Oryza sativa Japonica Group: one gene and its partners. The protein of the gene in region 1 interacts with the protein of each later gene in a pairwise test. Links are inferred from orthologs where the notes say so. Each region holds a gene or a part of one and is shown on either strand. Other genes may lie near its edges. The genes, in order: transcription factor PCF5, protein LATERAL ORGAN BOUNDARIES and GRF1-interacting factor 1.

Region 1 (3,752 bases):
TACCTTTTTCTATAAATTTGGTCAAACTTAAAACAGTTTGACTTTGACTAAAGTTAAAACGTCTTATAACCTGAAACGGAGGAAGTACAAGTTTACACTATCCTGTATGTAGATGTGCCAATGAGGGGTGTTTCCTTCTATCTTTTTTGAACAAATCTATGGGCACCATCTCGGTCCCTCGACCCGTTATGTTTTTGGCATCAAATGAACTAAAAATAGCTTGATCTTATTTCCATGCAATGGATCAAACTTGGGGCAAGTTTGGACAATGACGCCACATAAAACCCTCTTTTAGCAAGGTGGGGCTACAAATAAAACACACCATCAATCTATAAACAAGTATCTCAGGGGAAAGGTCTCACATTTGAAACTAATATTGCAACTCTCGACTTTCCAAAAAGGAAAATCATTAACCATTGGCATATACCCTTGAAAAAGCTCCAGTTGCCATCTTACTTGCCTATGCAACTGCCCAACTACAAGAATTATAGTACAAGCACTCTCTAAGAATACCACAAGTTAGCTTCTGAAGAGCATAGATATTCATGTCATGACAAACATGTCTACTGTACAACAAAAAAGAAAAATCGGCTAAGTAGATCACTCCACAATTGTGCGAGTAGATACTAGCGGTTACATATACACGAACGTATATATAAACATAGTTAAAATTGCTATATATTACCATAAAGCTATCGAGATGCGCTTAATTCCTTATCCATGGAGACTAGGGTGTGTGCCTCCGGTTTTTATTTTTTTTCCCAAAGGCACGTACACGTGTGTGTGTTCGAGTTTCATCGCGATTCGATCGTTGTCTACTGTTTTTTAATAATACAACAGATGTCCTAATCATCCACGCATGCATAACCCACAATCCCCCAGCATCATCCATCCCTTCCCAATTCCCAAATCACCACCTCTCTTCATCACTTGGGCTCCAGCCTCCTGCAGCCCCAGCCAAGCTAAGGTAAGCTCCATCTGCTTCTGATACACACACTCACACACAAAGCAGCAGCCAGCATCAGCAGCAGCAGTGTGAAGCAAAAATCTCTATCTCTCTCTCTCCTCACTAAAGCACAAATCCTACTCTTATCATCCTGTCTTCTTGCCTCCCTTCTGCCTCCTGCTCACCAAGCTTCCCACACAAACCCAACAAGAGAGTGAGAGAGGAGCAAAAGCTTTGGCTGGCCGTCCCCCCTGTTAAAATGTGATGTCCAATCCATGGGATTGCGTCTAGTTTAGTCCCCCACTCCTCTCCTGGGTCAGTCCCTCCCTGGCCACCACCTCTTCTTCTTGCAGCCTCCTCCTCCTCCGGGGCCTTCTTCTTGTTGATTCTTTTGATGGTTTTTGTGTTTCTTGTCGACCTAGTTATGGGATCCGGCGAGGTGGATGGACGCGCATTGGAGCAGCAACAGTAGCGGCGGGGAAGAAGGCGGCGGGGGATCTGGATCCGAGGCACCACCACCACCGGGTCACCCACGGCGGCGACGGCGGCGGCGTAGGAGGAGGAGGAAGCGGGGGACAGGAGGAGGCAGATGAGCAGCAGCAGCAGCAGCACGACCACCACCGGCTTCTCCAGCTCCACCACCACCAGGGTGTGCAGCAGGACCAAGAACCGCCGCCTGTTCCCGTCTTCCACCTCCAGCCGGCGTCCGTGAGGCAGCTGTCGGGCTCCTCCGCCGAGTATGCCCTTCTCTCGCCCATGGGCGACGCCGGCGGCCACTCCCACCACCACCAACACGGCTTCCAGCCTCAGCTCCTCTCCTTCGGTGGCGTCGGCCACCACCACCACCTGCATCAGTTCACGGCGCAGCCACAGCCCCCCGCCGCGTCCCACACTCGGGGTCGTGGAGGTGGAGGTGAGATTGTCCCCGCGACGACAACTCCACGGTCGAGGGGCGGAGGCGGCGGCGGCGGCGGGGAGATCGTGGCGGTGCAGGGCGGGCACATTGTGCGGTCGACAGGGCGGAAGGACCGGCACAGCAAGGTCTGCACGGCGCGCGGGCCGCGCGACCGCCGCGTGCGGCTGTCGGCGCACACCGCCATCCAGTTCTACGACGTGCAGGACCGGCTGGGCTACGACCGCCCGAGCAAGGCGGTGGACTGGCTCATCAAGAACGCCAAGGACGCCATCGACAAGCTCGACGTGCTGCCGGCGTGGCAGCCCACTGCCGGCGGCGCAGGCGCGGGCAATGCCGCCGCGCCGCCGTCCTCCTCGACCCACCCCGACTCCGCCGAGAACTCCGACGACCAGGCGCAGGCCATCACCGTCGCGCACACCGCCTTCGACTTCGCCGGCGGGGGCAGCGGCGGGACCAGCTTCCTCCCGCCGTCGCTCGACTCGGACGCCATAGCCGACACGATCAAGTCCTTCTTCCCCATGGGTGGCACCGCAGGCGGGGAGGCATCGTCGTCCACCACGGCGGCGCAGTCGTCGGCCATGGGTTTCCAGAGCTACACGCCTGACCTCCTGTCCCGCACCGGCAGCCAGAGCCAGGAGCTCCGGCTGTCGCTGCAGTCCTTACCAGACCCCATGTTCCACCACCAGCAACATCGCCATGGCGGCGGCGGCGGCGGCGGCAATGGCACCACGCAGCAGGCGCTCTTCTCCGGCGCCGCCAATTACTCGTTCGGCGGCGGAGCCATGTGGGCCACCGAGCAGCAGGCGCAGAACCAGCGCATGCTGCCGTGGAACGTGCCCGACCCCGGCGGCGGCGGCGGCGCCGCCTACCTGTTCAACGTGTCGCAGCAAGCGGCGCATATGCAGGCGGCGGCTGCGGCGCTGGGTGGCCACCAGAGCCAGTTCTTCTTCCAGAGGGGACCCCTTCAGTCCAGTAACCAGCCCTCCGAGCGAGGATGGCCGGAGACCGTCGAAGCCGACAACCAGATGAGCCACCACCAAGGAGGGCTGAGCCCCTCCGTGTCGGCGGCCATCGGTTTTGCCGCTCCCGGCATCGGCTTCTCCGGCTTCCGCCTCCCCGCGAGGATACAGGGCGACGAGGAGCACAACGGCGGCGGCGGCGGCAATGGCGACAAGCCGCCGCCGCCGTCGTCTGTCTCCTCGGCTTCTCACCACTGACCGCAGCAGTGGCGAGCAGATGACTTCACCACCACCAATCCACCATGAGCAAACACCACACCATGTACCAGACTATCAGCTAGCTCCTCCACTTCCATCACGGTGAGAAAAAAAAACCGAGAATTCTCATGGCTAACCTGCATTAGTTCAGAATTTTTCTCGTGTTAGTTAGCTGATCAATCTTGTGCTGCTGGTTTTGGTGTTCTTGACATGCAGGAATTGTCGATTGCATTCGGGAGGAGCAAAGTTTGGAGGTAGCACAAGTGCACTACTACTGATGCTACTACATATCGGTTGGTTGGTTGGTTGGTTTTCCATCGATCTCTTCTGCTGCTGCGCATGTCATTGGTTTTTGTTTCAAGAATTCACTCGGAGCTTCTTAGAATTAGGCTTGTGAGAATGCAGCAACACGATGGCAAGCTTTAGCTTAGCTTAGCAAGCCTCTGTGTCTGTTGGCTGTTGCGTTGCGCTAGGTGTAGTTGATCGATGTAGGTTCGAGCTTGCTTTGCTTTGTTTTGATTTTTACTCTTTTGTTGCTGATGCATGGACATGCTTTTGCTTCCTCCTGTGGGTTCAGGAGCAGTTGCTACTAGACCGATGTTGTTCTCAAAACTGATAAGTGGGATGGTGATGGATTGGGAGAGGAGCCTATCTTTCATCTTTTCCAAAACTT
Region 2 (3,689 bases), about 2.7 Mb from region 1:
AGTTCAATTTTACTTTTATTACAGGTCGATTGATGACGATCACGTCGGTTTAAAAGAAAATCCAAAAGCATATATGGTTCTCCATGATGACTACTGGTGAAGCATGCTATATCTTTGGCTTAGATTTTGTCATTTATAGGTGCGTAGATGAAGCTTATGCACAATTAGCATCATCATGATCTACATACCATCGCAACATGTAATTAGTACTACTTGCCGCAAAGCTCTAAAAGCCAAAAAGTTGCTAAAAGTACACATAACCCAGTCTGGCCAACAATATCACAGAGAACAATTGACAGTTCTCATATTGTAATGCGTCCATACTCTTCCCAAAAAAGTGAGGAAGAACAAAAAAGAACTACTGTGAATAATATGGCGTACTCCAGTAGGAGTATATCTATAGTTAACTTCTGGACATGTTTAATAATTGAAACTATATATACACACACATACTACTAGCTAAAGCAGTAATCAAGCATACTGTGTACCAACAGTGTTTGCAGCAGTACAGCACCCTACAACTATATAGTTTGGTCAATTCAACATATGTACGCGCAAAAGAAAAGTCAGGTCAATTTGAGTAGTCAACAGCAAGCATATAAAAGTTTCTCAAGAAAGAAAGATCACAGTCTCCGAGAAGGCAACAACAGACAAGTATTTCTCTATATATAGAGATTCACATCACTAAGCTGTCTTACCGTAACAGCAACCCCTAAGAGAAGCAGCCTCCACCATTAGGATATATAGCTCTACTATTCATGTAGGCATGTAGCTTCACTGCTTCAGCTACCTTCGTCTCCACATGTAAATGGCGCCGCATGACACATAAATGCAAGGAATGAAAAGAAAAAAGAAGGCTGAATTGATTATGGCGTGTTATCACACAAGATTTTTGATACCATCTCACCTTGCATGCACTACATATATACCGGATGTCATGTTATCATATGATTTGATGAATAAGATGCACCGTAAGAAACCATAATAAGATCTTCCTAAGATCCCCCCAAAGAACACGATCTCGTGTGCAAGCCACTTTCCTAGTACACCAACATTAATTCGATCCTGAAATCCACAGCCCATCAAATCGTTGGACCTAAGGGAGGGGGCCGAAGAGCCATACTGAGCTAAGCTAGCTAGGGCTAGCTAGTCCCTACATTTTGTGTCTGGATGCATGCATGGGACTATGGGAGCAGCCTTTTCCCAAGTTCACGACCTAGCATGACTGTCCTTTTGAGCTTCACCCCCTTGCAACTTGCATCCAAGTGCTAAAACTCGCAATCGTCACCAAATAAATCACAAATCTTTCAGTGGAACTAGCAGTTAGTACTACAGTTGGTAGCCGCCCAAAGATCATAGGCATGCATGTTTAGCTCTCTATGAGGCTCCACTATATGCATATGAACTTTTCTTTTTGAGAAAACCAAATTAGAGCAGGAGATTTCAGTCATTCTCATTCAGTATATACAGGTAGTGTTTAGATCCAGGGGTGTAAAAGTTTTAGCGTGTCACATCAGATATTATATAGAGTGTCGCATGGGGTGTTCGGGCACTAATAAAAAAACTAATTACAGAATCCGTCAGTAAACCACAAGACGAATTTATTAAGCCTAATTAATGTCATTAGCAAATATTTACTGTAACACCACATTGTCAAATCATATAGCAATTAGGCTTAAAAGATTTATCTCGCAAATTAGTCGCAATCTGTACAATTAGTTATTTCTTAGCCTATATTTAATACTTCATGCAGATGTTCAAACGTTAAATGTGACAAGGTGAAAAATTTTAGGATGAGATCTAAACATAATCCAAACTGCTCGAAGTTTAAAAATGATTTCAGCAACAGCCGAAACATTTGGTAGCCTGAGTTTGAAAAGCTCTAGAGTAGTTCATGGTGGTCCATGGGGGCCGGGGTGTGAGTAGCTTAGGTACGTGGGCCATGTCCAATACCTTTGAGAGGTTGAGGTGGTGAGGCAAAGAACAATGGGAGTGAACAGTCCTAGTATGCATATGTGAAAGAAGATATATCTACCTATGGTTGTGGGGGAAATATATTGGGCTGATGGGTCCAGGTAGTACAGATGCAAGGTTACCCCTGCACTGTGGGAGGGCACAGTCCCTTTGAATTCTGGTCACAAGAGGCACGCAGTGGGGTGGGTGGGGGTGCAAGGGTGGAGGGGGTTGTGCACGGGCGTGCATGGAACCGTACTTGTCGATAGAGAATCCTGTCTGTCGTCTGGACAGGCCATGGGGCTACCTCTCTCTAGCTCTATTCTATGGGCATTGTTCACCATGCTGCTTCCTTTCCTTCAAAATTCCTCTCCATCACAAGATATCATATATACAGAGAGTGATTTTGCCAGTGTGGTGATGAATCATGCAGATAATAGTTGTCAAATATAGCATCACTGACCTGCGCCTGCAGGGCCGCACGTTGATTGTCGAAACACAGTTGTGGAGATGCTTTGGTTTGGTTGGGAATAGCTGATCATCCCATGACATGATCATCTGATGCCATCTTGACGATAGAACAGCCTAAGTTGGCTGCATCTGGATTCTGGCCAGTGTGAGCCAGAGCTAATCAATAATCTGCTTCAACAGATATTTTGGGTGACCTATCAGAAGTTTAAGTGGCCCATATATCAGGACTGCTTGATTACTCGCGGGAAAAAAAAAAGAAGAAACAACCCCCTGCTTACATTGAGCCCACCACATCTTTATGTGTCTTAAGGCTGTAGTCAAACTGTTGATCTTCTTATTTGTCAGTTGTCCATATTGCCGGTAAGCACTTGAATTTTTTCCCTTTTTTCCAATGAACAATTCATACCGTGGCAAACGAGCTCCATTCCCTGTTCCTCTTCACTTTTAGAAGAAGAAACCAGGTCACATCCGAGACATTTACCTACAAACTCAATTCATTACACTGATTAAAAAATCCTGCTAGATCATGATCACCATTACACAGTACATAAATTAATTCCCCAACCCTCGATAGCCACACAATAATAAATTATTGCACCTTTCAGTGATCTAGCTATTGGTCTTGGAACCATGTGATTGGTTGCACTTTGGGCCCAGGAGCTATGATTGGCCATGTTATATTTAAGGGATAACACAAATAGATGGTAAAAGGACATGGCCTTGATAATTAGATTGCTTGGCAGAATCTGTTAGCCAGTACATCAACATAGATATCATACTCAAAAAGGGTAGCAAAGCAAATGTTTCTTGAGACATCTAATTGGTTCTTTCATGGAAACATCTCAGCAAAGATGTTTGTAGGTAGCCGCGCGGCTACACTTGCCAGCATATCTGATCACAATATCTAAAGGGAGAGATCCATTAAGATAGGAGAATCTAGATGAAAGCATATAAAGTTTAACAGTTAACACTGCGCTAATCTGCCAAAGGCTCTTCAGTGAGTGGAAGGGGCAAGCGATATATGAACAGCAATAGAACAAGGCAATGCAAGATATTGATTCCGTTTGATTTTTTTTTATTTCATTCGTCCGTACAATAGTTGTGGGCTACATGGAAGCTACCTAGCTACGTGCAAAAGTGACATCCACCTCGCTAGCTCTACACATCTTGGATTTGACATTGTTTATTCCAAATTCACTTTTGAGGAAGAGTTCCAATATTTCTAATAACCTTTTCAGTTCTATCATGGAAGCTAATTCATAACA
Region 3 (3,752 bases), on another chromosome or scaffold:
ACACACAACAGAAATAGTGCACTGAACAAGGAACAGTACTTTTCTAGTACAAGCCACTCACTAATAATTTATTTAACAGGAGGGTGCTAGGTATAGTATTAACCTGCCCATGAGTTAACACTAATTCAACCATCATTGTGGAATCACCTGTAACACCTAATGGAATATTTCACCAAAGAACATTGTACTACTTGATTAGTTGATTTATCCAGAATACTCCTAGTAGATTCTAGTTTCTTGAACCCTGACTGAACAAAAGCTAGACATTCCTTTTGCAGTTAACAAAGCCTAAAGACTATATTACCAAACAAGACATCTCTGATAGAGCAAAAGCTACAGAAAGAACAGCAACTTCAGAGTTTTCACAGCACTCCATGATAACAGGGAGATCAAGATCAAACTCACCGAGCGCACTCTTCCACCTTCCCATTGTTCTGGTTGTCAAGGATGGCCAGGATCAGCTGCTTGTTCTCATCCAGATACTGCACAGTTTCAAGGTTGAATCTTTGCATGTTAATACGTCATTACATTTCAAAGTCTTTATCATCAATACTAACAAAAGATAGTACTGCATGCATGCCTTGAATATATTGCAGTTCATTGCACAAGATTTGGTTGGTACTATCAGTTTATCACCAATGACATATGCATGAATATACTCCTAGCACCAATGAAGTACTAGACTGGAGATTGGCGTCCTGATTCTAGAGCAGAACCACACAAGATCTGATTGCCAGCCTATCATCTCAAACTGAGGACCAATCATGAACTGGCACGATAGCATGCAAGCAGGTTATCAAAGAATAGGCCAAGCAGACCGGGCCCCTGGTTGTTATATCGGCCTTTAGCCATAAAGCTCACATCTTTTAGGGGTCTAACAGTCAAAACTGCAACCTGTGGCATTCTAGTACAGCACAAGCCAACCTACATTCCCAGTTTCTCACCAACATGAACAAGGACCAGATCTTGTATGGTATGTCCTTCTGAAGAAAAAAGAAATATTTTTTAAATCAAAGATTGCAAATTGGATTTCGGATATGGAAAGGAGATATTTATGTAAATCTCACAGCATTTCTTGCTCCCTTTTGTTGGACGATTGCACATGATACATTTACATGGAAAGGGGGCCAAGATTTATTGGTGGTCTGCAATGGCAGATGCAGGGAACAGGTCTGGCATGTTTACTAGTTGCCAAATACGAGTGGTGGGGGAGACACGACCATTGGCACAAGTCACCAACCAAAACAAGCTAAAAATAGGATTTAGATGGAGAGGGGGATAAAGGATATGTAAAAAATCACCGCATCATGTGACTATGTGAGCAGCAAGAGCAAAAGAAAAGAAAAAAAAAGGACCAAATGGACAGCAACAGTTTGAACTGCAGAGGAAATCAGATGTGAGGGACCATGTTTGAAGACATGAGAATACAGGGAGAAGACTAGAGGACGAGAAGATAAATCAACATCATGAATATAAGAGGATCATGCCCTTTCTATTTGACCAAACAAAATAAAGAAAAAAAAGGCTGCCCTAGAACTATTTTTTAAATATGATGGAAAAAACGTGTTGTTCGACAAATCATGTTGGGAATTAACGGAGAAAGCGAAATAGATCAGATGAACAAGATGTAAGAACAGAGAAAAAAAAAAGAAGGGAAACTTTAGTTCATTTCAGATTTTTTTTTGCCAGATGTTTCAATGGATACAAAAGAGGATCAACAACCACGAGCAAACAAGAAAGATAGCATGAGCATAAACGCATAATGAAATAGAAAAGGGGAACACAAGAAAAGATAAAACTTCTTTTTCAGATACTCACAGACCAACCAACGAATCAAGAACGAAGAAAAAAAGAGTTTGATACAAATGATTCAAGAGAAAAAAAAAGAAAGGAAAGAAGAGAGATCACGGAACCAAAAACAAAAAGCAAGAAATGAAAAACAAGAGAGAGACAAACAGACGATAAAATGGGAGAGATTTTGGGGAGAGGGGATCATGACCTGCTGAATGAGATCAGTGGTGACGGTGGTAGGGGAAGCATATCCCCCCATCATGCCCTGGTTCATCTGCATCAGGTGTTGCTGCTGCATTCCAATCAAAAACCTTTATACCCTTCCCCCCTCCTCTACTCCTCACAGCTGCAGCAAACTCCTTCCTTTTCTTTTCTTCCCTCTGCTTCTTCCTCTCTGTCTCTCCACTTCCTCTCCCTCTGCCGGTGAAAAGAGAGAGAGAGGAGCAGGAGAGGTTTCTTTCTGGTTTCTTGGGGGGTTTTGGGCGATGATGAGAGGAGGAGGGTTTTGGTTGGCCGTCTCCTCCTTTCGCTTTGCTCGTTGGTTTTGGAGTGGAGTTCTTTAAAAAGAGGGTGAACCAGTTGCAGAGATTTTCTCTTCAGTTTTTTTTTCTTCAGTTTTGGTGACAAAGTTTAATTTAGTGGATCGTTTTTACCATGCAACTTTTTACCACACCTACCATAAAAGCTCAGTAACTTTCTATACTTGGACACCTGCACATTAAAGAATTGGGACCACCACCACACATAGGGGAAAAAAGATAAAATTAATAAAGCCTGATTCGTATAGGCAGGTTGTCAAAAAAAAATAAAACAAAATTATGGCTGCACGCTCGAAGAGTATTTATGTCTGGGTTGATATGTCATGTTCAGGGTTTAACAATGGTTGTCAACACGGCAATTTTCAAGTTCAGGGACTGCATGATCTGATGAGCTTGTGGGCAGGATAGATTTTTGGAGTACTAAAACAACAGCAGATTCTGTGTCGAAGAACTCGTCGGTCACGAGTACAGAGAAGAATTCCAACAGGAGACGGCGTGGCTTGTTTGTACAGATGTGCTATATATGTAGCCTCCATACGACACATGGAAATACAAAATACAACTGGGAAAAAGAAAAGAAGAACGTTAATTCCATTCTAATCAGAGTTGTTGATGGTGGTAAACACCCAAAGTTATCGCGAAATGGATCCTCCTTATAGAGTCTTGCCTGCAATTCATCAATTTTTTTCCTCGCTGGCTCTCTCCAGAGATAAACTTTTTTTTGAGAGAGAAAATCTCCAGAGATAAACTGGAGTTACATTCTTTAAGATCGTATAAATTGGGCCACATCGATTTCATTTTTATCTTGTTGCAGTTACTTGACCAGGATAAGGATTAACAATTACTTTAACTTTACATTAATAAGCTAATCATGGTCAATATAACTTATACCCTACCGCAAAAGTAGTAGGGCCAAAATTGGCTAATATTTTGGCACTGAAAAAAAAAGGTAAGGTGCAGAAGCAAAACACCCCTAAAAGTTATATTTAACCATTAGACTTAATTTCATAGAGACAACTGCATTTTCAAACGGAGCAAAACTGTTAAAGCATTCACATTACTTTGAAGTGATGAGTAGCTTAGCTCGGACTCGCCATGTCGAAGCTTTGCCTGTAGCTCGGCTACATCCATGTCCCCATGAGACTTTTTCATTGCTTTGAAGAGAGCATGGTTGCCTTTCAAGTTTCAACAGGGCTGAGGCAACTCTTGCTCAGTAGCCAGGACATGGATGGCAGCTGTGTTAGGCTGTGTTCGGAAGTACGTGATACCAACCCACACAGTATACACGGAAAACGGAGCGGTTCATTAGTGCGTGAATTATTAAATATTTGTTTTTTTCAAAAATAGATCAATAATATGATTTTTTAAGTAACTTTCGTATAGAAACTTTTTTTAAAAAAAAAAACACCGTTTAGCAATTTG

The links.
Region 2: the proteins of transcription factor PCF5 (region 1) and protein LATERAL ORGAN BOUNDARIES interact in binary tests that used the Arabidopsis thaliana proteins (3 or more experiments, as listed by UniProt). The link is inferred for Oryza sativa Japonica Group from reciprocal best matches to the Arabidopsis thaliana genes TCP4 and LOB.
Region 3: the proteins of transcription factor PCF5 (region 1) and GRF1-interacting factor 1 interact in binary tests that used the Arabidopsis thaliana proteins (3 or more experiments, as listed by UniProt). The link is inferred for Oryza sativa Japonica Group from reciprocal best matches to the Arabidopsis thaliana genes TCP4 and AN3.

What each region holds. Positions count from the first base shown.
Region 1 is NC_089035.1:6,231,357-6,235,108, reverse strand, and holds transcription factor PCF5, read left to right. Parts: upstream 1-927; 5' UTR 928-1,261; intron 1,262-1,268; exon of another isoform or gene 1,269-1,368; 5' UTR 1,369-1,702; coding exon 1,703-3,079; 3' UTR 3,080-3,181; intron 3,182-3,295; 3' UTR 3,296-3,749; downstream 3,750-3,752. UniProt on the Arabidopsis thaliana protein: Transcription factor playing a pivotal role in the control of morphogenesis of shoot organs by negatively regulating the expression of boundary-specific genes such as CUC genes, probably through the induction of miRNA (e.g. miR164).
Region 2 is NC_089035.1:3,563,874-3,567,562, forward strand, and holds the start of protein LATERAL ORGAN BOUNDARIES, read right to left. Parts: upstream 2,906-3,689; 5' UTR 2,703-2,905; intron 2,619-2,702; 5' UTR 2,417-2,618; intron 1-2,416. UniProt on the Arabidopsis thaliana protein: Not known; ectopic expression of LOB leads to alterations in the size and shape of leaves and floral organs and causes male and female sterility.
Region 3 is NC_089037.1:30,928,823-30,932,574, forward strand, and holds the start of GRF1-interacting factor 1, read right to left. Parts: upstream 2,325-3,752; 5' UTR 2,090-2,324; coding exon 2,000-2,089; intron 483-1,999; coding exon 406-482; intron 1-405. UniProt on the Arabidopsis thaliana protein: Transcription coactivator that plays a role in the regulation of cell expansion in leaf and cotyledons tissues.